7 linked regions of the Ovis aries genome follow. The protein of the gene in region 6 purifies or fractionates together with the protein of the main gene of each other region. This does not show direct contact. Links are inferred from orthologs where the notes say so. Each region holds a gene or a part of one and is shown on either strand. Other genes may lie near its edges. The genes, in order: RPS3, AURKA, LRPPRC, NFKBIE, SPAG9, NFKB1 and COPB2.

The links.
Region 1: the proteins of NFKB1 (region 6) and RPS3 purify together in Homo sapiens (affinity purification with western blotting; 3 studies listed by BioGRID and IntAct, with this or other methods). This does not show direct contact. The link is inferred for Ovis aries from reciprocal best matches to the Homo sapiens genes NFKB1 and RPS3.
Region 2: the proteins of NFKB1 (region 6) and AURKA purify together in Homo sapiens (affinity purification with mass spectrometry; 4 studies listed by BioGRID and IntAct, counting the BioPlex papers as one, with this or other methods). This does not show direct contact. The link is inferred for Ovis aries from reciprocal best matches to the Homo sapiens genes NFKB1 and AURKA.
Region 3: the proteins of NFKB1 (region 6) and LRPPRC purify together in Homo sapiens (affinity purification with mass spectrometry; 3 studies listed by BioGRID and IntAct, with this or other methods). This does not show direct contact. The link is inferred for Ovis aries from reciprocal best matches to the Homo sapiens genes NFKB1 and LRPPRC.
Region 4: the proteins of NFKB1 (region 6) and NFKBIE purify together in Homo sapiens (affinity purification with mass spectrometry; 4 studies listed by BioGRID and IntAct, with this or other methods). This does not show direct contact. The link is inferred for Ovis aries from reciprocal best matches to the Homo sapiens genes NFKB1 and NFKBIE.
Region 5: the proteins of NFKB1 (region 6) and SPAG9 purify together in Homo sapiens (affinity purification with mass spectrometry; 5 studies listed by BioGRID and IntAct, with this or other methods). This does not show direct contact. The link is inferred for Ovis aries from reciprocal best matches to the Homo sapiens genes NFKB1 and SPAG9.
Region 7: the proteins of NFKB1 (region 6) and COPB2 purify together in Homo sapiens (affinity purification with mass spectrometry; 5 studies listed by BioGRID and IntAct, with this or other methods). This does not show direct contact. The link is inferred for Ovis aries from reciprocal best matches to the Homo sapiens genes NFKB1 and COPB2.

Annotation. Positions count from the first base shown.
Region 1 is NC_056068.1:53,317,402-53,321,676, reverse strand, and holds the start of RPS3 (small ribosomal subunit protein uS3), read right to left. Parts: upstream 2,801-4,275; 5' UTR 2,771-2,800; coding exon 2,741-2,770; intron 2,199-2,740; exon of another isoform or gene 2,049-2,198; intron 1,904-2,048; coding exon 1,773-1,903; intron 1,502-1,772; coding exon 1,408-1,501; intron 527-1,407; coding exon 432-526; intron 1-431. UniProt on the Homo sapiens protein: Component of the small ribosomal subunit. The ribosome is a large ribonucleoprotein complex responsible for the synthesis of proteins in the cell. Has endonuclease activity and plays a role in repair of damaged DNA.
Region 2 is NC_056066.1:59,216,890-59,220,389, reverse strand, and holds part of AURKA (aurora kinase A), read right to left. Parts: intron 3,086-3,500; coding exon 2,894-3,085; intron 2,125-2,893; coding exon 1,986-2,124; intron 1-1,985. UniProt on the Homo sapiens protein: Mitotic serine/threonine kinase that contributes to the regulation of cell cycle progression.
Region 3 is NC_056056.1:80,311,731-80,315,230, reverse strand, and holds part of LRPPRC (leucine-rich PPR motif-containing protein, mitochondrial), read right to left. Parts: intron 707-3,500; coding exon 507-706; intron 1-506. UniProt on the Homo sapiens protein: May play a role in RNA metabolism in both nuclei and mitochondria. In the nucleus binds to HNRPA1-associated poly(A) mRNAs and is part of nmRNP complexes at late stages of mRNA maturation which are possibly associated with nuclear mRNA export.
Region 4 is NC_056073.1:17,751,117-17,755,358, forward strand, and holds the start of NFKBIE (NF-kappa-B inhibitor epsilon), read right to left. Parts: upstream 2,801-4,242; 5' UTR 2,593-2,800; coding exon 2,225-2,592; intron 1-2,224. UniProt on the Homo sapiens protein: Sequesters NF-kappa-B transcription factor complexes in the cytoplasm, thereby inhibiting their activity. Sequestered complexes include NFKB1-RELA (p50-p65) and NFKB1-REL (p50-c-Rel) complexes.
Region 5 is NC_056064.1:35,517,937-35,521,436, reverse strand, and holds part of SPAG9 (C-Jun-amino-terminal kinase-interacting protein 4), read right to left. Parts: intron 2,835-3,500; coding exon 2,709-2,834; intron 1,516-2,708; coding exon 1,435-1,515; intron 769-1,434; coding exon 701-768; intron 1-700. UniProt on the Homo sapiens protein: The JNK-interacting protein (JIP) group of scaffold proteins selectively mediates JNK signaling by aggregating specific components of the MAPK cascade to form a functional JNK signaling module.
Region 6 is NC_056059.1:22,569,264-22,572,763, forward strand, and holds part of NFKB1 (nuclear factor NF-kappa-B p105 subunit), read right to left. Parts: intron 2,169-3,500; coding exon 2,077-2,168; intron 402-2,076; coding exon 263-401; intron 1-262.
Region 7 is NC_056054.1:250,348,577-250,352,603, reverse strand, and holds the end of COPB2 (coatomer subunit beta'), read right to left. Parts: intron 2,524-4,027; coding exon 2,431-2,523; intron 2,346-2,430; coding exon 2,165-2,345; intron 1,380-2,164; coding exon 1,311-1,379; intron 1,169-1,310; coding exon 1,097-1,168; intron 865-1,096; coding exon 769-864; 3' UTR 501-768; downstream 1-500. UniProt on the Homo sapiens protein: The coatomer is a cytosolic protein complex that binds to dilysine motifs and reversibly associates with Golgi non-clathrin-coated vesicles, which further mediate biosynthetic protein transport from the ER, via the Golgi up to the trans Golgi network.

The sequences.
Region 1 (4,275 bases), on a different chromosome or scaffold from region 6:
AAATCTTATCAGCAAGCCCAGCTCCGGGGCCAATCTAACCACCTCATGTCCTCTGTTCCTCACATCACTATCTATAAATACCTACTGGGCATACCTGACTAGATTTTAAGCTCTCTTCTCAGCAATGAGTCTTCTCTCTTGAATCCCCAGAGTTACCACCACACAATGTATGTGAATGACTTCAACATGAACCCAAACCATTCCCCACCCCCATCCTACATTCATACTCCCACCGTGCTCTACTAACACCACTCGCTTTTTTAAACACTTGTCTTTACTAGTCTTTCTAACTAGGCTGCAACATGGATTGACAATGTCTTATTGTTAAAGCCCTCAGAGACTAGCTGAGCCTGTCCAGAGTCCACTTACTAAATTAACAAAATAGCTGATATACTGATTCACGAAAGGACACAATTCATAAGGACTCTTACCTCCGCACAGCAAGGCCTCCTAGGAGCTTGTAACGCAGAGACTCTGCCTGGGCAATGGCACACAGTCCTCTTGTGGCTACCTTTTCAGCATAAAGCTTTAAAGAAAACAAGGCACATTCTTAAACTTGTTACACTCATCACCACCGTTTTCAACTAAAAATCAGCACATTCATGATTCAAGCAGACACCCCTCTATGTATCACTCTATTTGTTCTCATTTAGTGGATGAGTGTGCAACCCCATTGGCTACAGCCCACCAGGGTCCTCTTCTTCTCCAGGCAAGAATACTGGTGAAGGTTACCATGCCCTCCTCCAGATCTTCCTGACTCAGGGACTGAACCCGCGTCTCCTACATTGGCACGCAGATTCCTTACCAGTAAGCCACCTGGGAAGCCCTTCACTGTACTACCCAAGTATTAAAGCACTTCTAATGCCCACATCTAACAAACACTCAGGGACGCAGACTGAACTGAACCATTCCTCATTTTTCTCCCACCCCCACCTCTTTCCACAGCCAAATCATGGAGATCAATGGGCAGCCAACCTCTCCTATGTATCATTACTAATTCCAAGATAGGTATAAACTGCTGCCAACTGCTTATTAAAAGACCTTCAACAAAATACCAATCCATTTGTAATACTCACTGATCACAAGTAAGCTTTCAGGGTGATAATATGAGTTTTCAGAAGTACCATCCTAAAGAGGGCTTCCCTGGTGGCTCAGATGGTAAAGAATCCGCCTGCAATGTGGGGAGACCTGGGTTCAATCGCTTGGTTGGGAAGATCCCCTGGAGGAGGGCATGGCAACCAGCTCCAGAATTCTTGCCTGGAAGACTCCCCATGGACAGAGAAGCCTTGGGGCCATGGGGGTCACAAAGAGTTGGACACGACTGAGCGACAAAGCACAGCACAGCACCATCCTGAAGAGCCATTTCTAGCTCCAGAGTAGCCTCTGGCACAAGCCAGGATCACTCACCTCTACACTGCCTTCAGGGAAGCCGAATCTCTTCTGAACCACAGCAGTCAATTCCCGGATCCGCCGGCCCTTCTCACCAAGTACATTCTGTGTCCTGGGGAAAATGAAGAGTGACAATTCACAGCTCTCATAACATTACAGATGTAATTTTAAACCTTGCACACGTGTGGTAGTAAAAATCTAATTCATCTGACACAAGAAAGCATAAATTTTGGATGACAAGAACTAAGAGATTATCTTTTTTTTAAATGCAGCTTAAAAACTCATTCACGATGACTCAACTGTTGTTCTGCTACGTTTACAGAAGAAATCACCTTAGTGCAGACAACAATTACAGGTGATGGCCAGAAAAATGAATTTTTCACCTGGTGGCCAAGATGATGATCTCTGTCCTGGTTGGTGTAACTCGGACCTCAACTCCAGAGTACCCATCTTCGGCCAGCTCCCGAGTGAGAAACTCGTTCAGTTCAGCTTTGAAGATGCCATCAGCGACAAACTAACCAAAAGCAAAATGAAAATGAGGATCTGGACATGGGCTCAGGTTTCTAGCCCAGTCAATGCAACCCTAATCAAGATTCAACACCTCCAACCAACGACCCATCATTAATTATTTTGCCTTGTTCCAGAGAAAACATAGCAACCCTTCTCAGACAAATGCCTCTAAGTCATCTTTTGGAAGTTAACTTTGACCCAGGCCCTTAAAACTGTGCCACAGAACGCGGCACAGGGTAGGGGTCACCTGGACAAAGAGAACACCTCCAGTCAGACTCGTCATCTCCTCTTCATTGAAGGGTTTTAAATAATCAAACCGTTTCCCCCAGGTCCCTTCCCTCTATTTCCCCAGAACGTTTCCTTGACCCCAAGATAGAACAAGAAATTGTCAGTAACCTTCCAAACTGAGGTCCTTGGGGTCAGAAGCCTGCACCCAGACAAGCCTAGGAAGAAGGCAAGCGAACACTGCTACCTCCCTTTCTCAAAGCTACCATTCGATGAGGGAAAGGCTCATGCATTCAAAACATCACATTTAGTAACTTTACTAACTACTGACTAAGAAAGGCTCACAAGCGCTCCTCCACGGCAGGAGGAGCCCTCAGTGCTCATCTCTGCTCTCCGCCCGGAACCGGCAGAAATCCTTCTCTCCTATCCCAGCCATACCGTTCTCAGCAGCCACGGGCCTGCGCTCAATCCACCGCCATCCGCAGCCCACGGGAAAGCGACACAGTCCGGCCGCTGCCCCGGGCATAGCGAAGAGCTATAAGTCTCGCAATAGCACCCAGAAAGGCTCCTGACCCGCGAAACGCCACTTCCCTGCAACCGGGCCCCGGGATCTCACCTTCCTCTTTTTGGAAATTTGCACGGCCATCTTGCCGACGCGAGCCGCCGAAAGGAAAGGAAGTGGCAAGCGGGCGGAAGTGCGTATAAAGGGCGCTGTGCGACGACAAAGAACTGCGCGACGTCGACGCCTGTGAGCGCTCATGGGAAGTGTAGTTTTCACTTTGGTAAAAGGAAAGAGAAAAGCGCGGTCCAAGGGTTGATGCTTTTGAACTGTGAGGTGTTGGGGAAGAAAGGAAATCAATCCTCAGTATTCATTGGAAGGACTGATGCTGAAGCTGAAGCTCCAATACTTTGGCCATCTGATGCAAAGAGCTGACTCATTGGAAAAGACCCTGATACTGCCTTCAGAAAGACTAAAGTCAGGAGGAGAAGGGCAGGACACAAAGGATGAGACAGTTGGATGGCATCACCGACTCAATGGACATGAGTTTGAGCAAGCTCCGGGAGATGGCGATGGACAGGGAAACCCGGCGTGCTGCAGCCCATGGGGTCGCAAAGAGTTGGACACAACTGAGCGACTGAACAACAACAATATCCAGAAACCTGGGCTTTCCAGGTGGCACTAGCGGTAAAGAACCCGCCTGCAAATGGAGGAGAGAGAGTGGTGAGGGGTCGATCATAGGGATGAGGGGTCGATCTCCAGGTCAGGAAGATCCACTGGAGGAGGGCATGGCAACCCACTCCAGTTTTCTTGCCTGGAGAATCCCATAGACAGAGGAGCCAATATCTCAATCAGAGCTTTAAAAATTCAGGGAAGTTTAGAGTCCAGTTCTCATCAGTTTAATTAGAGCCCAGTTCTCATCAGTTTAAAACCAAGTATAAACACACACTTATCTGCTAACTTTATTCTTTAATGAAAAAAAGTAAAAGCACTTTTGGGCTGAAAGCCCTCAGAGAAATTCACTGAGGCACCTATCTCTTCCAATTTGTGTCCACTTCCTCTGTTGCAAACTGATAATATATATATAATATGTATTAAATATTCTAAGGACTGTTTTAGGACTTTATATTATTAATTCATTACCTCTACCTCACGTTCATAAAGTATGTTACAGCTTGTAACAGAAGTTACGATAATGGCTCGCAATTCTTTTTCAATTAAAAAAAATCTCCCCTCGCAGATTTTATTACAAAAAATTTCAAACATACAGAAAAGTTGGAAGAACTATACAGTGTACACCTATATATGCATCCCTTAGGTGCTGCAATTAACATTTTTTTCTGTATTTGCTTTATCAGATATTTATCCTTGCCTCTATCCACCCAACAGTGCATCTTTTGATACATTTCAAAGTTACTTTCAGGCATCAGGACACTTCACGCCTTAAATTTTCCCAACAGTTTTTTTTTTTTTTTTTTTCCAGTTTTACTGAGAAATAATTGACATACATCAATGTATAAGTTTAAGGCATACAACATAATGGCTTGATTCACATATCATGAAATGATTACCACAAGAGATTCAGTTAACATCCATCATCTTATATAGATACAAAAATAAATTGAAAAAAGAGAAAAAGTTTCCTTGTGACG
Region 2 (3,500 bases), on a different chromosome or scaffold from region 6:
GAGAACATTTCATGCAAAGATGGGCTCGATAAAGGACAGAAATGGTATGGACCTAACAGAAGCAGAAGATATTAAGAAGAGGTGGCAAGGATACACAGAAGAACTGTACAGAAAAGATCTTCACGACCAAGATAATCACGATGGTGTGATCACTCACCTAGAGCCAGACATCCTGGAATGTGAAGTCAAGTGAGCCTTAAGAAAGCATCACTACGAACAAAGCTAGTGGAGGTGATGGAATTCCAGTTGAGCTATTTCAAATCCTGAAAAGATGATGCTGTGAAAGTGCTGCACTCAACATGCCAGCAAATTTGGAAAACTCAGCAGTGGCCACAGGACTGGAAAAGGTCAGTTTTCATTTCAATCCCAAAGAAAGGCAATGCCAAAGAATGCTCAACTACCGCACAATTGCACTCATCTCACATGCTAGTAAAGTAATGCTCAAAATTCTCCAAGCAAGGCTTTAGCAATACATGAACCATGAACTTCCTGATGTTCAAGCTGGTTTTAGAGAAGGCAGAGGAACCAGAGATCAAATTGCCAACATCTGCTGGATCATGGAAAAAGAAAGAGAGTTCCAGAAAAACATCTATTTCTGCTTTATTGACTATGCCAAAGCCTTTGACTGTGCAGATCACAATAAACTGTGGAGAATTCTGAAAGAGATGGGAATACCAGACCACCTGACCTGCTTCTTGAGAAACCTATATGCAGGTCAGAAAGCAACAGTTAGAACTGGACATGGAACAACAGACTGGTTCCAAATAGGAAAAGGAGTACGTCAAAGCTGCGTATTGTCACCCTGCTTATTTAACTTCTATGCAGAGTACATCATGAGAAACACTGGGCTGGAAGAAACACAAGCTGGAATCAAGATTGCCGGGAGAAATATCAATAACCTCAGATATGCAGATGACACCACGTTTATGGCAGAAAGTGAAGAGGAACTAAAAGCCTCTTTATGAAAGTGAAAGAGGAGAGTGAAAAAGTTGGCTTAAAGCTCAACATTCAGAAAACGAAGATCATGGTATCTGGTCCCATCACTTCATGACAAATAGATGGGGAAACAGTAGAAACAGTGTCAGACTTTATTTTTTTGGCTCCAAAATCACTGCAGATGGTGACTGCAGCCATGAAATTAAAAGACGCTTACTCCTTGGAAGGAAAGTTATGACCAACCTAGATAGCATACTCTAAAGCAGAGACATTACTTTGCCAACAAAGGTCCAACTAGTCAAGGTTATAGTTTTCCAGTAGTCATGTATGGATGTGAGAGTTGGACTGTGAAGAAAGCTGAGTGCTGAAGAATTGATGCTTTTGAACTGTGGTGTTGGAGAAGACTCTTGAGAGTCCCTTGGACTGAAAGGAGATCCAACCAGTCCATTCTGAAAGAGATCAGTCCTGGGTGTTCATTGGAAGGAATGATGCTAAAGCTGAAACTCCAGTAATCTGGCCACCTCATGCGAAGAGTTGACTCATTGGAAAAGACTCTGATGCTAGGAGGGATTGGGGGCAGGAGGAGAAGGGGACGACCGAGGATGAGATGGCTGGATGGCATCACCGACTCGGACGTGGGTTTGGGTGAACTCTGGGAGTTGGTGATGGACAGGGAGGCCTGTCATGCCGCGATTCATGGGGTCGCAAAGAATCGGACATGACTGAGCGACTGAACTGAACCGAGCTGAAGCCAGTGTTGGTACCAAGGACCAATTTTGTGGGAGATAATTTTTCCACAGACCTGGGGTAGGGCAGATGGTTTCGGGATGACTCAAGTGCATTACATTTATTGTGTGCTTCATTTCTATTATTATTACATCAGCCTGACCCCAGATAATCAGGCATTAGATCCCAGAGGTGAGGGACCCCTGTACTAAGCTAGCTTTCCATGAAACGAAACCCCCTCTATTATATAATGAAAGGTACAGCACTGTGTAGGACAGGTATAGAGTAAACAGAATTAGTCTGAACAGTAAATGAAAACTCACCGTGGCAGTTCTCTGCTCATCAAACTTTGACAGTTTCTGAAGTTCTCTATAGACAGCTCCGAGGGGTGCATATTCCAAAATTAAGTAGACTCTGGTAGCATCATGGAAATAACCATATAGTCTGAGGATGTTTGGATGCCTGCAATGAAAGATGGACACCTGGTATGGTGGGGCATCTGTACTGAGTATCAGATCCCTCATGTGAAACCAGTGGTGAGAACTGCTGCTGGTCACAGATTCCACCTTCCACTGCCCTTGAAAATATGAAGCTATGAACCCACTGTAAGAAAAATATGTACACTGCTATCAATTTACATGCATTCCAAGGTATTAAACCTGGACCTCAGGTTTAGTTAAGACTATTTCCTTCCTTTGAACCATCTATATTCTTAGGGGGAAAGAATTCAGCTAAATATTAAGTCTCCGCAAATTGAAAGAAAAAAAAAAAAAGACGTGCCATTCCCACAGTAGTTTGAAACTCAAATTCCATGAGACAGACAACACAGGCCATGTTCAATAACGGCAGCAAATGTGCTGTGGAGGACTTTGGACAGCTGAGCACAGGCTAGCTGAGATTTTTTTAAATTCACTGAAAACAAAAAGATCCACTGGCTAAAGTCAACCTATAGGCTACCAGTGTGCAACCTGAACTCAAAATAAGAGGTATCATTCCTTTAATTATCCACCAAAACAAAACAAAACTCATCCAGTAAATTACTCCATTAACAAGACAAACCTTCAAGCAATTTTTCCAATCCACAGCAGTTAAGTCTAGATAAATCTTTGAAAAAATGATGAATTTAGTCATTCTTTGCAGTACTATGAAGCCAGCCTTCTACAAAGAAGTTCATAAACATTGAAGTCTAAGCTCTGTACGCCACTCTCCCGGACACCATTTGAAGACTTACCTGAGATGCGACTGTATTTCTACTTCTCTTCTCAGCTGATGCTCAACGCCGGCCTTCTCCAGCTGAGCTTTGAATAATACTTTAAGAGCCAGAATAAACTTGCTTTGTTTTTCTCTTGCCAAATAAACATTACCAAACTTTCCTTTACCCAGCGGGCGACCAATTTCAAAATCTTCCAAAGCCCATTGCCTTCTGGGGAAGAATTGAACATTTTAAAGTCTGAAGAAAACACATCCTTTCTAATGAGGTATATTAATGAGTAGCAGACACCCCAGTCCTATCAATAATTCTATACTCAAAGTGGTATCAGCACGTATCCTCGGCAAGAACCAAACCATAGCCTCCTCTGAATGAGTCTGTGACAGGGAAAAATCTGGACTTCTGGAGCTGAGGCACTTGCTGGGAAGTGTTCTGAGACAGTACTATGCTCTGAGCACAGACCTATTAGCAACAATGCTAAGACCACAGGAGGATTGGATGAGGAACTGGAGAAGCAAGAAGGTTCCAGAAACAACTGGGAACTTCTTTCAAATGGCCTCCTCTCGACGTGGAGACGCCACCCCTCTCTGCGGTGGAGAACCACTCTGGGAAAGCAAATAGGATGGAG
Region 3 (3,500 bases), on a different chromosome or scaffold from region 6:
GTGTGAGCCTGTGTGGTCCGGTTTTTTTGGGGGGGTTGGGGGGAGGGGACTTGAGGGCCTATAAGTTTCTATCAGATTATCAAAGTTGCATAAGTGACTTGAATGTTAACAGCTAAGTGAAAATGAAAGTGAAATAATGATTATCAGTCTTCAGTCTTTCTGGAAATTTTCATACATGACCATCTTAGGGAAAGCAGACACTATGCAAGAGAAGATAAAAACTAGTATCTTCCAAGAAAATTTACCACTGAAAGTGATTCTTTTATAAACTGTGGGGAAAGACAATTTTTATTTGCTGATTTTGAAATAAACATGCAAAACAAAATGCTTCACTCAAAACTTTGCTCTGTTGAATTGGAAAAAAAAAAAAAAAAAAACCACAACCATAACATAAAATCACAAATAGAAATGACAAAATTTAAAGTACCAAACAATGTGCTCCGTAATGAGCTTACCATCAAACCAGAATTTAAGTTCAACTTTTTGAATAGAAAATTTTGAAATACCTGAATGACAGGTGTTATCAAAGACTTTTTGTAGAAGAGTCTTAGGGATGCGGCCAGTTCTTCGGACAGAATTATCTAGCCTCATTAAAGCCCAATCAAATTGGCTGGCATTCCTCCTATGAGAAGAGGTGGGCTCCTCCTGAAGATAATTCTTTTTTTCAGCAGCAATGGAATGTAGCCTAGCTTGGCTCAGTAGACCTCTACAAAATGAAACACAATTAGTAATAAACTATGTCAACTACTATCCACATAGGTCATCTTTGTGAGTAAAATTTATACAAAGCTTTTTTATTAGTTACTGAATACCTAAATTCATAGCGTAATAGCAAAAATGTCCAGAAGTATAAATTGGTAGGGAAGAAAGTTTTGACCTTTGCTTTAAATAAAATCACAAGCACATAAATTGTATGCAAAATAACCTCTTGAATAACTGTCTCACAATGTCTCTCGATAACCTCCCACATGGAATCATCTCAAACTAAGACAATAATATGGTATGTTTTTAAATCTCCCTTATCCAAAACCAAGTTAATGAAGAAAAATGAAGATTATGCTACAAAGCTTTTCTAACCTCTACAAATGAACAAGAGATCTAAAATATACCTAAAATTGTGAAGAATTCTAAAGCACTCTTTGAACATTTTCTAGGTGTAGATATTGAACTATTAATAAGACCCATTTCCAAATATGCAGTTTTTTAAAGGATCATTAATGATAAAAGTATTCCCCATCTTTCTAAATAAATCTGAAACATTTAAGTAAAAAAAAAAAGTTAATAAAGGTCAGACTAGCATACGTATTTACAAAAAGCAAACAACCCTTAAACCATTTAATAAAGCAGGTCTAACATGCAGGCCAAAACATGAAATCAGAGGTATTTCACACTGTAGAAATACAGGCTGTACCTGATTTACAAACATGAAACGGAAATAATCCTTACGTGTGAAGGAAGCCCTGTCATATATCTTTAAACCTGAACTTCCTATACATTCCAATCTCACATAAAATCATCTAATTTGCAGATTTACACATTTACCCCCAAATTTTCAGAAGTAGCCAGTAAGTATAACTAAAGAATACACACTAAGTATATATTAACTAAGTAATAATGTAAAAACACTCTACTTATTAATTCAAGAAAGCCCTTACGATGACAATCACGTTTTTTTAACATGTTACTTTTTTTTTTTTTTAACCACAGTCAATTAGAGGATGAGACGGTTGGATGGCATCACCAACTCAATGGACACGAGTTTGAGGAAGCTCTGGGAGTGGGTGATGGACAGGGAAGCCTGGCATGCTCCAGTCCATGGGGTTGCAAAGAGTCAGACACGACTGAGCATCTGAACTGAACAGTCAATTACCAAAGTAAATACATGCTCATGAGTTTAAAAATAAAATTGTTGACTTCTTATGCTACTAACCTGAAAAACAAATCACAAAACTTAATGTTACATAATGTTACATTAAAGAAAGTAACACCAGTAGTTTCACAAGTTTAAGCAAAACACAGAGGCAGTAATCAATATCCAACTAGAAATTCTACCACCAGGACCCGGGACAAAACACAACCACTCTGGCCATCAATGATTCCACCTGATGTAAAACAGCAGACTGGAAAACAACGGAAAATATCAGAATACTAACTAAAAACAATGTCATCTTGCTTAATTAGGAAATCTAATGATCAGCACTTGTAGATGGCTAATTGATTAAAGCTAGTTAAATGAAATGAATACTAGGTTTTTACCTATGAACCATAGAAGATACACTGCTACATATTGCTACATGTATTTACCCCTTCTAGGAGATCAGTTATTAATAACCTATCCCCAAGTTAGGCAAACACAAAATATTTTAAATCACTCAGAACAATGTGTCAGGTTCAGATGAGTGTAAAATACTGCTCACCAATGAAAGCTAAATAAGAGAGATTTCAAAATCATAGTGAAGGGACTTCCTTGCTGGCTCAGTGGCTAAGACTCTGTTCCCAAAGCAGGGAACCTGGGTTCGCTCCCTGGTCAAGGGAACTAGATCCCACATGCTGCAACTAAGATCGAAGACCCTGTCTGTGTGCCCCAAGTAGCCAAATAAATAAAAATAAATCTTTTAAAAATTGGGGCTTTCCCTGGTGGTCCAGTGGCAAACATTCCGTGCTCCCAAGGCAGGGGGCCTGGGTTTGATCCCTGGTCAGGGAACTAGACCCCACATGTCACAACTAAAGACCCAGAGTGCTGCAACCAAGACCTGGAACAGCCAAATAAATAAAAATAAAGTTTTTAAAAACCATAGTGAAGTGCAGTATTTGTCGATGTTTTTTTAATACAAGCCAAATCTGATAAACTGTGGAGGAGCATAAAAATAAAACCTCTCCTCAAAATGCAGTTTTAACATGTAACATCGAACAAACAAAGTTCAGGGAGAAAACAGAGATGTTAATAAACCAGCACAGTAGACTGAACGTTCGTTCTTTTTTTTTTGAACGTTCTAAAGCTATTTTTTTTCTCACAAATCTTTAATGCTGTCAAATCTCTTTCACGTGTAAGTGTGTTTAGCTTTATTAAGTCAAAATATGATTCTGCTATAAAATAAACTGGGGAGAAGGGTTACATATTTAAACCGAAGGATTCTTCACTCTTCAAAAGGATTCTCCAGTGTTTCCTCGTAGGACTGTGTTTTCTACCTTTTTTTATTTGAGTCACAATTTGTTTTTAAATTCACTTGAACACACCCTGAAAGAAAAAGAATTCTGTAGCTAGGGCTTCCAGGTGGTGCAGTGGTAAAGAACCTATATGCAACACAGAAGATGCAAGAGACACAGGTTTGATCCCTGGGCTGGGAAGATCCCCTGGAGGAGGAATGGTAACCCACTCCAGTATTCTTGCCTGGAAAACTCCATGGAGAGAGAAGCCTGGCAGTCCATCATGGGGTCGCAAAGAGTCAGACATGACTGTGCAACTGGGCATGCATGCAGTCTAGAACGGGTATGTTGTA
Region 4 (4,242 bases), on a different chromosome or scaffold from region 6:
TAGGTGCAGGAAGTGAGAGTTTGGGCCAGGAAGTGAGGGTTGCTGCGGGAAGCCAGGATCCTGAGGGTGGAAGCTCCAAGTTCCCATCTCTGGCCTTTGGGAGGGCCTTGGCTGAGTGAGAATGTGGGCAGGGTGCTGACGGGACAAGGTCCTTCCTGTCCACCCTGCCCACACCCCGCTCCCCTCTGGCCCCCTGGGGCCCCCACCAGGCAGCTGCAGCTCAAAGCCAAACTGAAAGCCGCTGGGGTAGCACAGAGGTGGTTTCCAGGGCTGGGCTCCCCACCTCTGCCCCCTTCATGGGGAGGGCAGAGAGGGCAGGGGTGGGGTCACCCTCTGTCCCCTCATGAACACCTCCCAAAAGAGAGGAGACAGAAGCTCTTGGAAAAGGAGCAAGGAGACAGGGCAGCGCTCTGTCCTGCTGCTCTCCACGGGACAGCCAGAGGCCATTCTGCAGGGCTGGGACGGAGCCTGAGCTGGGCCCCCGCTCCTGTGTGTGCCTCTGCGGGGAGGACTGTGCAGTGCAGAAAATGTGTGCCTGGGGTGGGGGATAAAGAGCCTTAACCTGGGGCGGACAGGAGGGGAAGTTCCAGCCCTGGGGTTTCCCCACGTCAGGTGGGGAAAATGAAAGCCAGAGCCAGAGGGTCTAGGCCGGGGCAGGCAGCTGCTGGGGCATTCGTCAGGGGGAAGCCTGGCTGAAAGGCCCGTCTGGGTTGGGGAGGGGGCTGCTTGGGGCAGGGGGGGCAGGCTTTGGTGGCTGGCGAGGCCCAGGAGAGAGTGACGGAGGGAGGGAGGGAGGAACCGCGCTGGAAATCCCCTCGGCCAGGGCCTGCTCTCTGGTCACATTCCTGCAGCCACCTCCCTCTCTCCCTCAGTCTCCCTCCTCCCACTTCCTCTTCCCATTTCCACATGTCCACAGCCCAGACACCTCCGGAGGGAAGAAAGCGCCCTCTCCTCTCAGGGAACCCTCTGGGGGGTCTTGACACCTCCCTCCCGCCCCCACCGGGTCTAGATTCCACACCTGTCTCTAACTAGAGGCGATTAAAGCTGGGGCTGAGAGGCTAAGCAAGGGGGGCAGGGCAGAAGCCTCCACTCCCTGGGTCAAAGGTCAACCACAGGTACTCTGCACAGGGCCTGCACAATCTTGGTTGTAGGCCTGAGGGCTGGTGATCTCTAGGTACAGAGGACAAAAAGGCCTAGGGTCACCCAGTGGGTCCAGAGTCTGTCTCTGTCAGAGGCCACCCAGGACCTTTGCATCTCCAAAAAAGCAGATCAAGACAGACAGCTCCTGCTTCCTCCTCCCCATTCATTCCAGCAGCCCAGATCCAGGACCCCAGCCCCCCTCCACTCTGTTTCCCATCCCCAAATCCCAGCCACCCCCTCTCTCATCCATCTTTTCTTCCTGAGGGGTGAATCCTCACCTGGCCAGCCCCTACCACACAACTGCCTCTCTGACCACCCCTCCCCCCGGCCCCGCCCCAGCCCAGTCTCCACCAAGCTCCACCTGGGCCTGGGGAGGAAGGATGAAGTGAAGGGGTCACATATGACAGTGAGGGGGATTTGCAGGGCTCAGGAGGTGGAGAGTGTCGGTAAGGCTGACTCTAGCCCTCACTTCCCCTTTCTCAACAGAGGAGGAAGTTAGCTGGGGTAGCCAGCCGCCTATCTGTCTGCTGGGGCAAGAGTGCCCCAGCCTGGCTCACTGACTCCACAGGCCAGCCTCAGCCATGCACCCCTGGCAGCACCTCAGACCCCAGCTTCCTGGGCCCACCGGCAGCCTGTCACTGGCCCCTCTTGTTCTTTGAGACAGGGCATTCTGAGGTCAGAGGCCGGGAATCCCAGATATTAAGCAAACAAGGATGCTCTGTCCTCCAGCGAGAAAAACAAAACAAAACAAAACTGGGCTGGTCAGGGGAATTTTCTCTTCCCCAGGATGGGTTACTGGTAGATTTCCAAGATGCTAGCTGGGGTTCCAGGTGCTGGTGAGGGCCCTGCCAAAAGGTGGGGCAGACAGACGATGCCAGGTCCTCTGGACTGGGTCTGGATACAGCTCAAAAGTGGGTTGAGAGTTCAGTTTGAAAGAGAGAGTGGGGACCGCCCCTTCCAGAGCTGGTGCCTTTAGGGATCCCCACATAGGGAATGCCCGGCCTGTTACGGCTCTTGGAGAAGGCCCCGAGTTAGCATCGGGGCGGAGGAAGGGGTCCTCTCTTAGCCTAGCCCCCATACTCACGTGTCTCCGTCCTCGGAAATGTACGTGAGTGCTTCCAGCTGCTGAGGGCTCAGCGCCCCGGCGGCGCGGAGCGGGGAGTCTGGAACTGCGCCCTCGGTCCTGGGGTCCCCCGACAAGGACAGGGGCTCGGTGAGCGATGAGGAGCCGTAGGTGGAGTCAGCCCGCTCCCCGTCCGTGTCTTCCTTGTCCTCTGGCTCCTTGGCGGTTCCCGGAGGATGAGTCCAGGGCTGGGGGCCCCCGCCCTCTGAGGGCCCCGAGGCTGGGCGCGGGGTGGACTCGGGCAGGGAGCGCAGGGAGCGCAGAGACTCGATGCCCGAGTCATACTGGCTCTCATCGGTGTCGTCCTGCCCCTTCCGCGCCTCCGACATCCCCGCGGCGCCGGCCCGCCGGGCCCGGTCCCAGGAGGATCCGACTCCTCGCCGCCTTTCCGGGTTGCAGGTCCGCCTCACAGAGCGGGTGCTGGACCCGAAATGGCCTCCTTTCCGGGCTGCGGGTTGGGCTGAGCGGCTCGGCGAGAAGCGTGGACGAGGTTCCGAGCGCCGGCGGGGTCCGCGGCAGCCGCTACTCGGGGCAACTGGGCAGCGCAGTCAGACGCGCTCGCTCGCCCCGCCCTCAGGCCCCGCCCCCGGCAGGCGCCGCGCTTCCGGACGGACGCCCCGCCCTTCGGAATCCCCCTTACCCCGCCCTCTGCTTTGGCTCGGAGTCAGGGGTTCCCCGGTCCTGACTCACTCTTGCGTTAACTCACCCGTTCATTCATTCATCCAACCGTCCATTCATTCACTCTTTCCCCCTCCCTTCATTCCATGTATGAATTCCCTGCATTCTTTCTTTCCTTCCTTCACTTCCTCTGTTTTCTTCATTCATTTTCCCATTCATTTATTCTTTCGTTTAAGAGGAATATATGTTAATCGTCTGCACAAGCTGGGCGTCTTCTGGGGAGGGCACGTGGGAGGTGGGACGGGGAAGCGTTGCTACCTGTCCCCGGCCCACTACTCTCAATTTCTGTTGCTTTTCCCGGAGCCAAAGGGGACACCCATGTCTTTAAAGGAGTTCTCCCTTTGGGTTCTGGAGACAGAGTCTCCTGTGCCAGTTTTTCAGATCACATAGAATTGGACATGAGGATGTGCTCTTCGCAAGTGGTTTTTCTGTTGAAAAGCCTGTGGTCTAAAAAAGCAGAGTGGTCATTCCTCACAGGGATAAAATACTGGTCTCAGACAGTAACAGCATCTGGTTGGGGAAGTGTAGTTCCTCATGGTGGGGCCAGGATGGGGAGGCCCCAGACATTCTGGGCAGCACTCTGCTGAGGTCCCCTTGGCAGCCTCAGCCCTAATACCAGCACATCTTTCCCCTTTCCCCATCCCTATTTTCCCTGGGCCTAGCCTCAGGAGGCTGTAGGCAAATCCCACCCACGTGGTGAGCCCCAAATCAGCTGCCCAAGATTTATCCCCTACCCCAAGTTCCAGAAATGCTCTTAGAAAAATCCCCCCCAAGAAAACATCTCCCTTTCCCAACTCTGGCTTTGAAGGAAGGAAGCTAGGGTGTGAACACGCAGCTACTAACCAGTTTCCCTCCCACCCTCCCCATGAAACCTCATTTTATTCATCCATTTGATAGACATGTAAGGAGCTTCTTCTATATGCCTGACATTGTTCTCTCTGTTGGAAGCAAAACGGAGGCTCACAGTAACAGTAATAACCAACAACTACCATCCCCCCCCAAACAAACAAACATAAAAAAAACTGTCCCATGGTTCCAGCCTTCAAAACCCCCTAGCAGTTACAACTCAGAGTGATTGGGCTAAGATAGGCGTGAGAACAGGACGCTGGAGGGGCACAACATGGGGCCAACTACCCAATGGGGTGAGCGGTAGAGGAGGTTCCATTTGAACTGGAAATGAGAAGGGAAGAGGGCTGGGAAGAAGTACCTAGTTTCTGGGAAGGGGGTGAGTGGAGGGAGAAAGGAGAGGGGAGGACAGTTGGGAGGAGGTGACCCACTGGTCTCCATCCCCCCCTGAAGGC
Region 5 (3,500 bases), on a different chromosome or scaffold from region 6:
GCAAAAAGATATGAGACTTTGGAAAAGCCTTGCAAAAATTAATTAATAAAATAAAAAATTAATTTTTGCAAGGCTTTTCCAAAGTCTCATATCGGATCTATATTTTTATATTTCCCTGATCTACCAATCTAGTAGGAAGGAAATATCACTTTTGGACTATACATGTACCAAGGAATTATATACTCAATTTCTTAAATTCACTCAGCGCAGTTTTCTGACACCTTCTGTCTGCAGATGGTAGAAACACTACTTTAAAGGGGAAGAATATAAAAAACATGACAAGAAAATGATTAAACTTTAGCTAATTAAAAATTCTTTTCAAGAACATTCCAAATGTAAGTGAATGCAAATTACTTTTAAAATACTGGACAAAAGAAACCATGTACTCTCACTAAATTAGGCCTATGATTAGAAAACAAATAAAACAAATAAATACTTCCATTGCACATTATTTAAGAGGACCATAAGGACTATTTGCTCAGTATGGTAAACAAATTTTCACTGAGGTGTATGATTAATGTATGCCTCCAGTCAGGCACTCACATATTTACTCATTTCATACATGGTTAGTATTCAGTTTAAATCTTTATTCTTTCTTCTATGAAATATCATTTCTTTAAAACATATGAGGTCAATATGTTTGAACATGCTCTTGCAAAGCAACGAATCAGCACACATGTTACATATTCATGAAACTCACCAACTCCTCTGTGAAAGATTGCAAGGGTGCCGTCAGCCAGGGCCACCAACACAATTCCTTTCACATGTCTGCAAACAGGAAAGGGGGTCTTAGAACTCTCCATTTGGGAGTGCAGAAGACACCACACGCTGCTGAACTAGTTCAGAGGTTCTCAGAAGACCAATCTGTGATGTGAGGAGCTTACAGGAGAATCTAAAGGAACAGATTCTTTTCTTCATTGAGAAAAGTCTCGTTATGAAAATGTCAGCTGGACTCAATAGGAAGCATGTGTGGTGACTCAGCTGTTTCACTTTCTAACCTCCTCTCATTGCAGACAAAAGGTCCACAGACCAGAGGCACACACCTTGAGTAGAAAGAGTCAGCTCTGTGGATCTAAGAGACAAACTGACTTTTCACAGTCAACATACAGAAAAGGACTGGTAAATCAATCACCCAATCAGCATATTCACAAAGTGTAAAGAATATTCTGAAACAAATATCACGGGTTTTAATTGGTTTTCTCACCAACAGGCTAAAGAACTCTCAGAACAGTGAGGAATCAACCTAGAAAGCTTTCTCTTCTACTTAAAATTACTTGGTTTATTTTCTAGTTTTAATCTCATTCATAAAGAGGGTTAAAAAAGACATGGATACTGATTTAGTCATGAAGTACATGTTAACTTTAATAGTCTTAGAATCTAGTTTATACCAAAATACATATTTTTCAAAGGAAGAATTTCTAAAATAAAACTTACACAATACTGAGAATCGAATCTTTAAGTTTAATAGAATGGAGACATTTCCTCCACTGGGCTACAGATGAATGGACATACAAACTGCAAGAACAAAATCAAGACTGGTAAGGCATAGAGAACACATCAAGTAGTTGCTTATATCTAATAATGACACAAAGTTTCTTCAAAAGAAAAGAAGAGTAACATAAAAATTTCAGGACAAAACAAGGAAAGGATAGGCCTAAGGCAGAGAAATAAGCTGCTTAAGCAAACAGAAACATAAAAAGAAGGAAAAGCCAGAACTAACGCATGGTTGGTTTCAGATTACCACATACTTCAGAATCCTTGGCTATCAATCTTTTAAAAAAATAGTCTTCTTACTGAGCTATAAATTTCTGATAATAGAGCGGTTTACATCAGGGAGCGGCAAACTAAGGCCCATAGGCCAAATCCAGCCATCTACCTGTCTTAGTACAGTCTCAAGCTAAAAATGGTCTTTATATTTTTTAAATGGTTGGGAAAAAAAAAAACCAAAAGGAGAGTATTTCATGACATACAAGACTTATATGAAATTCAGTGTTCATAAGTTTTATTATTATTAGAACATATCCACACCAGTTCACTTAGGTATTGTCAATGCAGTGGCTGCTTTTGCACCTCAACAGCATAGTTAATAAGTTGCTACAAAGATCATAAGGCAACAAAACCTGATATATTTCTTGTCTGACCCTTCATAGAGAAACGTACGTCAAACCTTCATTTTGTAGTATTAGTCCTTTATGGGAAAGATCCACTAGTGATTTCGTTTAACCTTAGGAAAAGCACAAGTTTGTAAGACTCTTCACACTACTACAAAGTGGAAAAGTCCTATAGTGTTTATCAACTCCTAAGCTTTTAGACTGTGATTTGTCCTTGTTTTCCCAGAAGTTATGTTTAAAATTAGGCCTTTCTGCAGCCCGAGATTTTTTTAATCCCTTTTATTTCCTGAACAACAGGATCTCTTATTTTTAGATCACCCAGATTTTTAAGTTTACTTAACTTTTTTCCCAAGAATATTATATGAAGGAAACATCCTATGACAAACATACGGTTCACCACTCAGAACCAATGCAAGTCCAAGTCCAAGTTATGAGGTAGTTGCAATATAACTTCAAAATTGTGTGTATATAAAATTCTTCACTTTAATAGGCACTTTTTGTTTGTATTTGTACGTAGCACATTTTAATTATCTTAAGATTTCTAAAGCAAAATTGAAAGACTTAAGATTTCTAATATTAAAAAGATTTGATACCTACCACCCATTTTGAGCTCCAAGCCACATAGTTGGTAAAAGGCTACTCATCTTCTGGGCTTCCTCTCTCACCAGGTCTTGTTCATTTGGCAATACTGATATTTGATCTTTATATGCATCTGAGTCATTACTGTGGGAAAAAAGGAAAAAAAAATCTTATTGTGTTTAGCTACAGTTTTCAGGAATTGATAATTTTTACATTTTAGTGTACTGTTAAAAAAATAAATTCCAGTAAAGCCAAAGTTAGATGATTATATTAAACATTTCAGAGACAGTGAGAAAGGGAGGGAGGGAGGGTGGAGGGAAGGCAGGCAGGCAGACAGGCAGCTAGGCAAGGCAAGGCAATGGGAGGCGGACGGGAGGGAGAATAGAAAGGAGTGAAAGGTATATAAATATATATATTGCAGCAATTGTACCAGAAGTAACACTGACATACTAGGAGGTTCAAGGCACAGAAAAGGGAAATAAGACACAGTAACGAAATATAGCAGTTAATATCCAGACTAAAGTTAATTCTCTCTTATAGTTATCTTGAATTTTATGAGTTTCTTCTGTGCGGATAGAAGGAGGAGAGATGGTTTGTTTTAAAACTACACATACATACCTACACACACACACACACACACACACACACACACACACACACACACACAGACATCACAGGAGGGTTAATTATAAACAATGTTCTAAAATAAATAAACTGAAACATGCTTTTATTCTATCCCCAAACTTTATTTCTTTGGACTGTCAGAGGACAGTTAGTTTAAAAAAAAAGCATAACTGGGCTATCAAATTC
Region 6 (3,500 bases):
AATGATAGATTCTCAAATTCAAAGCGAAATTTTAAATGCTCAACCTCATATAAAACTCGGTGGGAATAACATTATTTTAAAAGGCTAGACTTAATTCTATGACCCTAAAATCATATATTACTTCTTTCTTCTCTAAAAAGAAGTACCATGGACCCAAGGACCAGTTACTAGGAGGCTGGTCAAAGGAGGTGACTGCCTGACCTTTTCTCAACAGCCTGTCCTCTTGTTGGAACAAGTGCAAGTGTTTAAATAACCGAGTTACCTTTGATTTCAGGATAGTAGAGGAAAGGTTTTGGTTCGCTAGTTTCCAAATCAGATTTCCTCCGAAGCTGCACGAACACAGAGGCTGGTTTTGTAATGTTGACATCTTTATACTTTGGAGTTTTGAAGACAATGGCAAACTGCAGGATACAAAGATACAAATGTTGGAGTAGGACTACATTTCTTTTAAAGCAGTGGTACTCATTAAACACATTCTTTATGCCCAGTGCTTAGACACAGTGTCTTAAAAAAAAATACAACACCCTAGAGAAAGTTACAACCTTGGAATTCTGTACCCATATATTTTTATTATATTGCCAATGTGAAATTGAAATATAAGATTATGCCAATGTACTGCAAATCCTCATTAGTTCACTTGTCTAAAGTTTCAAATGTCTTTCAGTGTAAATAACCATGTGAATAAAATATATTGCATACATCCTCTTTTCCAAATTAGCCTTAAAAGCCTCCAAGATTATTTACAGCAATATCATAAAGACATAATGGAAGGAGAGAGAGGAGGATGGCCAGCCAACAACCACAGCGAAAAACTAAACCCTTAAGGGAGACACTGTGACTGGGTCAGCAACTGTGAGGTGGGGATGGTCGAGGCTCTAGACACACACAGGGCATCTGTAACACCTCTAAGACAGCCTCCTTGATATCTGCTAGTATAAGAATAGTCAGATTTAGTTGTATTTCATCCACAAAATTAACGTTTAATCTAACAGTTACGCACAGAACCTCCCAGAGTTTCTTTATGCTATGTAAACATGAACACAGAATCTTTTTTTATATACACTTTGTTTCATATCTATCTTTTAAAAAATTTCAGTGTTGTATCTTTGAGACCTTTCCGTTAGTCTGTAGAGTATTCATGCTTTCTTAATAACTGTACAATATCCCCTCACATTGACTTAACTGGTCACTAGCTGATGGGCACTTGGATTTTTTCCATTTTGTGTGTGTGTGAAAACTGTATTCCTCAATCACTCAGAGTAATTGTTAAGCTGAGGATTCAGCATTTTCATCTCTTTGTCATATACTCAAATGTTCCTGGGAGATCTTAATTTATCATGATGATATCAGCCTCAACTAGAAGACTCCTCCTGTCAACACTTTTCATTAGAATACCCTTTTAACAAGTCTCCTCAGGTTACTCTGGGAGAATACCATTACAGACTAACTGTGTTTCCTCCAAAGTCATATGGTGAAGCCCCAACAGTGTGGCTGTATTTGGAGACAGGGCCTTTATGGAAATAAGTAAGGTTAAAAGATGTCACAAAGGTAAGGTCCTGATTGGATAGGATTAGTGGTCTTAAAAGGAGAAGCAGCAAAAAAAGAGAAAAATAAAAAGACACGACACCAGAGAGCTTCTTCTCTCTCTGCCATGTTAGGACATAACAGGAAGGTGGCTGTCTGCCAACTCAGGAGAGAGCCCTCATCAGGAGCCAACCCTGTCAGACCTTGATCTGGGACTTATGGGCTCCAGAACCATAAGCAAAAACTGCTTTTGTTTTATTCACTCAGTCTATGATATTTTGTTATTAGTCTGAACAGACCGGTGAAATACATAACACATGTCTACTTAAGGATTTGAGGGTCACAGCCTTGCATCTAGGCGATCAGATCCTGACAGAGCTTTACCCATAATTCTAGGTAGCTTTTCTGGAACAACTCCAAGACATAGTGCTCTTTGATGAAAGTTAAAGAAATACTTATCATTTTTCCTTTTTTATTCTTGGGATCCAAGTACTGAATTTCAACAAAGCAGAAAACATAGTATCATCTTCCGTACCATCATCATCCACTTACTTGTCTATGAACATCTGTGGGGGAAAAATCTCCAAATCCTTCCCAAATTCCACCATTTTCCTCCTCTTCATAAAATCGAATCTGGATGTCATCTGTAAACAGTCACGTTCAGGTGTATAATTTCACACATTATAATAGCATTCGTAAATGTGATGAAAAATAAAGCTGGTTCTAGAGTCTACCTACTATGTACTTAACCTTTTTTTGAAAGTAATTCATATAAAATAGACTTCTGAATTTATTTAAAATTTTGAGTAAAATTTTTTTGTCACCATAGTAATGGGCCCCAAGTTTCATTTACAAGGACAGAATTCTAGATTTACCTATTCAATCTGAGTTTTCTCTTAATCAATCTTCGACGTTCCCACTTCTCCAACCCTAAACCAATTCACTCCCCAGGAACATGAAAGATAGTGAAGAATATCAGAATCCCAAAAGACGGTTCACCTTGATGCAGATTTACATAATATTTAACTTATATAAAGTTTACTATTTGGCAGACACTGTTCTAAGTGATTTTATATGCATATATTAACTGATTTCATCTTCAACTCTGTGATGCAAATGTACTATTAATATCCTCATTCTGCAGAAGAGAAACTGGAGTTCAAAGAGATTAAGTAACTTATCTAAGGCTGAACAGTTAGTAAGGGGAGAGACCAGGATTTGAACACGGACACTGAAGGTTCAGACCCCAGGCTCTTAAACATCCTACTATGCTACCTCTCTACAATATTCTAGTAGTCCCTGTTGAGAAACTGCTAAATTATGTGTTGGTCTAGACCCTTTGGGTTAAATTAGAATGTCTTAATTTCACACTTCAGTCATGGATTCTACTCCTGCAGAAATATGACAATATAACTCAGGTTGGCATCTCCCTGGCTTCACGTCCTCATTCACAGGGAGGCATATACATTATTGACTTGTAAAAACTAAATGTATATTTCTATTTAAATAGAATTTTAGAAATATTAGGGTTGGGTAAGACATTCATAGGACCACCCTGGACCTAGTTATTCAGATTCTTTAAGCTGGGTATAAAACTTCTCTTAATTAGCCATTTCAATGTAATGATGATGACTTAGAGTCACATTTACAAATAAAGGTACTTAGATTGTGTTTACTCATAGTATGCACACCCAGGAATCTAGAAATGCATAATTACTTGGATAGAATTGGTTAAAAGAAAGCTGATACCAGAATCTGCAGAGAAAGTGTAAACATTTTGGGGACAAAGACATACACCTTTATCTTAAAATCTGATCTCATTTTTTCTGACTTTTTATCTCAGAGCATTTGGCCTCAAAGGACAATTTTCTTTTTTTAAAGCCATAGTTCTTTAAATAGGAGGTAAGTTTCCAGTTATACAGCTGCTTACTCTGAAAATGCTCATCAGAGTAAGCAGCTGGGTAACTGCTTGTAGT
Region 7 (4,027 bases), on a different chromosome or scaffold from region 6:
AAATAGTGCCTCTATCAGAAATACAAAGAAAAAACTGTTTACTCCACTCACTTTCCGAGGCTATGAGAGGATAACCAAGAAGTATATTTAAATGCCTGGTTATGAATTTCTCTAATCATGTCAGATGAGTACAGCATAAAAAGAAAGAAAAAAAAGTACTATGTCTCTGTGTTACCAAATGGGTCAGTTGGTAATTTAAACAGCCCAGCTTAATGAGGTCAGGGGAGCTGACTCTAGAAATAGGTACTACCAGACAAAGTCAGAGGAAGGCATAAGAAAGCTACATAGAATGAGGGGAATAATGCAGTGAGGTCAAGGGAAAGTTTAGAAAATTATAGCACAGATACTCAATTCTAAGAAAAATATGAGTGATGCTATTTGAAAATAGTTATTCAAAGAGAAGAGAACATGGGCTGATACCTAGAAAAGGTGTAGTTTTGGCTCAGCCAAACTCGAATCCTGTTTTCATTCTGCAGAAAGGAAACTCTGAAGTATCTTCATTAATTCAAAGGATTTTATGAGATATGGTCCAATGACAGTATGAAAAAAATCAAAGCCCACAGCTGTTTTAGTTAATAAGGGAACAGTGATTTAGATGCTGCACATAAACTCCTCCGAAGATGAGGGGATTGTGCTCCTAGTGGGCAACAACGTCTATATATAAAAAATGTAAGGAGTTTCTCAGAGTCCAAAGCATGGTGGTCAGGGTGACGATCAGTACCTGTCCATAATAATGATCTGTTTAGCTAAGTAAACAGGAAACATTATTTAGTCGTCCAAAATATCTTCATCCAGGTTGATATCTGTTGTGTCAATATCGTCTAATTCCAAATTATCCAAATCTACTTCCAGCTCAAGTAAACTCTGCAAACAAAAGGAAGAGGGTGAGTTCTATAGTACTGTGTTAAAGAAAAGTTACCTGTGACTCATGATCCAAAGAGAACTAAACCAACAGTCAGAAAAGTGTATCTTTCCATTTCAAAGCTCCTGCTCTGAAACTGATTACATCACTTAAAACAGGCCTGCACAGCTAGCACACGTTCACGTGGCGAGAGGGTGAGGCTGGCGTCCACTGGGAAGCTGGGTATGTCAATACCTTTTCTTCTTTGTTGGCTGTCTGGGAGGTCACGATAACAGGAGTAGGAGAAGCAGGTTTCCCGTCAAGTTCCTGAAAATCCACAAAACAAAGGAATTTGTTCAGGAATTTGAAGTTTTTCCCAAAGGGAAAACTAATCGGGATTAGGAAGTGGGAGATGGTACTTAAAATCAACAAATCTCAACCAGACTATCTTGTGTAGTAGTCCACTGACCTGCTGAGCTGCAGATCTTGAGGGCTGAAAGCCTTTTGCCTCTTCCATAACATTTCTTTCTTCATTTGGCTATCAGGGAATGAAGCAATGATGAAATGAAATATTCTGAAAGTATAATTCATCTATGAACTTAGCCCAAATCCCAAATACTAGCTCTCAATTAAACCAAAACGTATGTTCAGTTCAGTCACTCAGTCGTGTCCGACTCTTTGCAACCCCATGAATCGCAGCAAGCCAGGCCTCCCTGTCCATCACCAACTCCTGGAGTTCACTCAAACTCATGTCCATCCAGCCATCTCATCCTCTGTCATCCCCTCCTCCTCCTGCCCCCAATTCCTCCCAGTGTCAGAGTCTTTTCCAATGAGTCAACTCTTCGCATGAGGTGGCCAAAGTACTGGAGTTTAGGAATCCCAGTGTTGATCTCCTTCAGAATGGACTGGTTGGATCTCCTCGCAGTCCAAGGGACTCTCAAGAGTCTTCTCCAACACCACAGGTCAAAAGCATCAATTCTTTGGTGCTCAGCCTTCTTCACAGTCCAACCATCACATCCATACATGACCACAGGAAAAACCATAGCCTTGACTAGACGGACCTTAGTCAGTAAAGTAATGTCTCTGCTTTTGAATATGCTATCTAGGTTGGTCATAACTTTTCTTCCAAGGAGTAAGGGTCTTTTAATTTCATGGCTGCAGTCACCATCTGCAGTGATTTTAGAGCCTAAAAAAATAAAGTCTGACACTGTTTCCACTGTTTCCCCATCTATTTCCCATGAAGTGATGGTACAGTTTAAAACCTTAAGTTGTGAATGCCCTTCTACTTGTAGTTACACAAAATTAGGCGCCCCAGGCACTCACCGTGACAAGAGGGTATTGTTTGGCTGGCCAGAGGTCGGCATGCGTTTCCTTCACCCATTCTTCTACAACAAAGGCTTCCTTTAATCCAGGGAAAAGGTTTTCATATTCTGTTGGATCAGCAAGGGATTCTGCTGCTTTCTGATTGACTTTTGAGAGGTTTTCTCTCCAGAGTTTCACCACCCTGTTACAGATATGGAACCAGAGGGAGATTGGTAAGGACTCTGTTTTTATCTGAAGTATTTCCTCCCAAAATGAAAAGTCTGTACCTTGAAACCTGACTGGGTAGGTAAGTCCGTGCCAGGAAGGCAGCTTCTGGCAGTCGTCCAGTTCTAATCAAAAGCTCCAGGCAAGCATCAAGCCTACAGATTAAAGACAGGCACTGTTACCACAAATAAATGCTGTAATGATGGCACTTAGCACATTAGAGAAATGTGAATTTAGTGCTGCAAAGTCAGCATTCCCTCTCCAGCTCCCACATGTATACCTCTTTTCTGTCACTGAGCCATTAACTTATCACCAGTGAGCTACAAAATAGACTCCAGCAGTGTGAGAAATAAGACAGCTTTTGTGACCATTTTCAATCTCCTTAACTGTCCTAGGCAGACTCTAAAGGGGCTTTTTAAGACAAGGTAGCTGATACGAACACATTTAAGGGCTTCAGGAGATACAAAGGAGAAACTCTGTTTCACAAGTATATTATTGAGGGCAGCATCTCTAAGATGAACAGTGCTGGACAATGCAGTGGTGCCCAGTAGGAAAATATCCAAATGTCCATTTTATTTCCATTTTTTTCCTGTGTAAGTTCGATAAAGTGGATAATGTGTTTTAGAATTAAGAATTTTTTTGATTTTAAAAAGGTAATACTTGGATTTTACAAAGTAATATGCCATACATTGCATAACATCCTCAGCACCAAAGTCACAAACGTTAATATTCTGCAAAAAACATGTGACTACTAAATACAATAAAAACACACCAAGTGGCATAAAAACATAAGAACAACTAATAACTTAAGAGTTTAGGTCTGATTATGCCACCAAATACTCGCTTCAGAATTTTCTGGGTTTTTGAATGATTGATAAGAAATAGACCAGACTTCCCTGGTGGTCCAATGGTTAAGAATCTGCCTGCCAATGCAGGGGGGAGACGTTGCAGGGCAGCTGAGCCCATGTGCCACAACTATGGAAGCCCCCATGCTCTCGAGTCCCTGCTCCCCAGTGAGAGAAGCCATCACAGTGAGAAGCTAGTGCCCCACACCTATAGAGGCCCTTGCTTGCTGCAGCTGGAGAAAGCCCCTGCTCAGCGACAGACTGGCGCAGCCAAAAAGCAAATAGTGGACCTATTCTTGTAAGTTGCTCAGTCGTGTCCAACTCTTTTGCAACCCCATGGGCTGAAGCCCACCAGGTTCCTCTGGCCATGGGATTTACCAGGCAAAAATACTGGAGTGGGTTGCCATTTCCTTCTCCAGGGGATCTTCCCAACCCGGGGATCTAACCCATGTCTCCAGCATTGGCAAGCAGATTCTTTTACTACTGAGCCACCAGGGAAGCGCAGACCTTTTCTCACAGGTATATAAATGTATGCATACATATGTTATAAAATACATATACATTCAAAGTTTTTATGATTAACTGTGAGGTTCAGAAAGTCTGTAAGGCAAAATTAATGAACACTTCTGCATTTTATTCCATAATGGTCAACTAATGAAAAGATCTGATATGTACTAACTGCTACACTTTTGAAAATATATGACATTTTAATGCTTTAAATGCAAATCTAGTTACTAGTTAGTAACTAGTAACTGGCATCCTGATCCCCCTTAATTTTTGTTGTAAACAGATCATTCAATTTGGGCAAAATCAC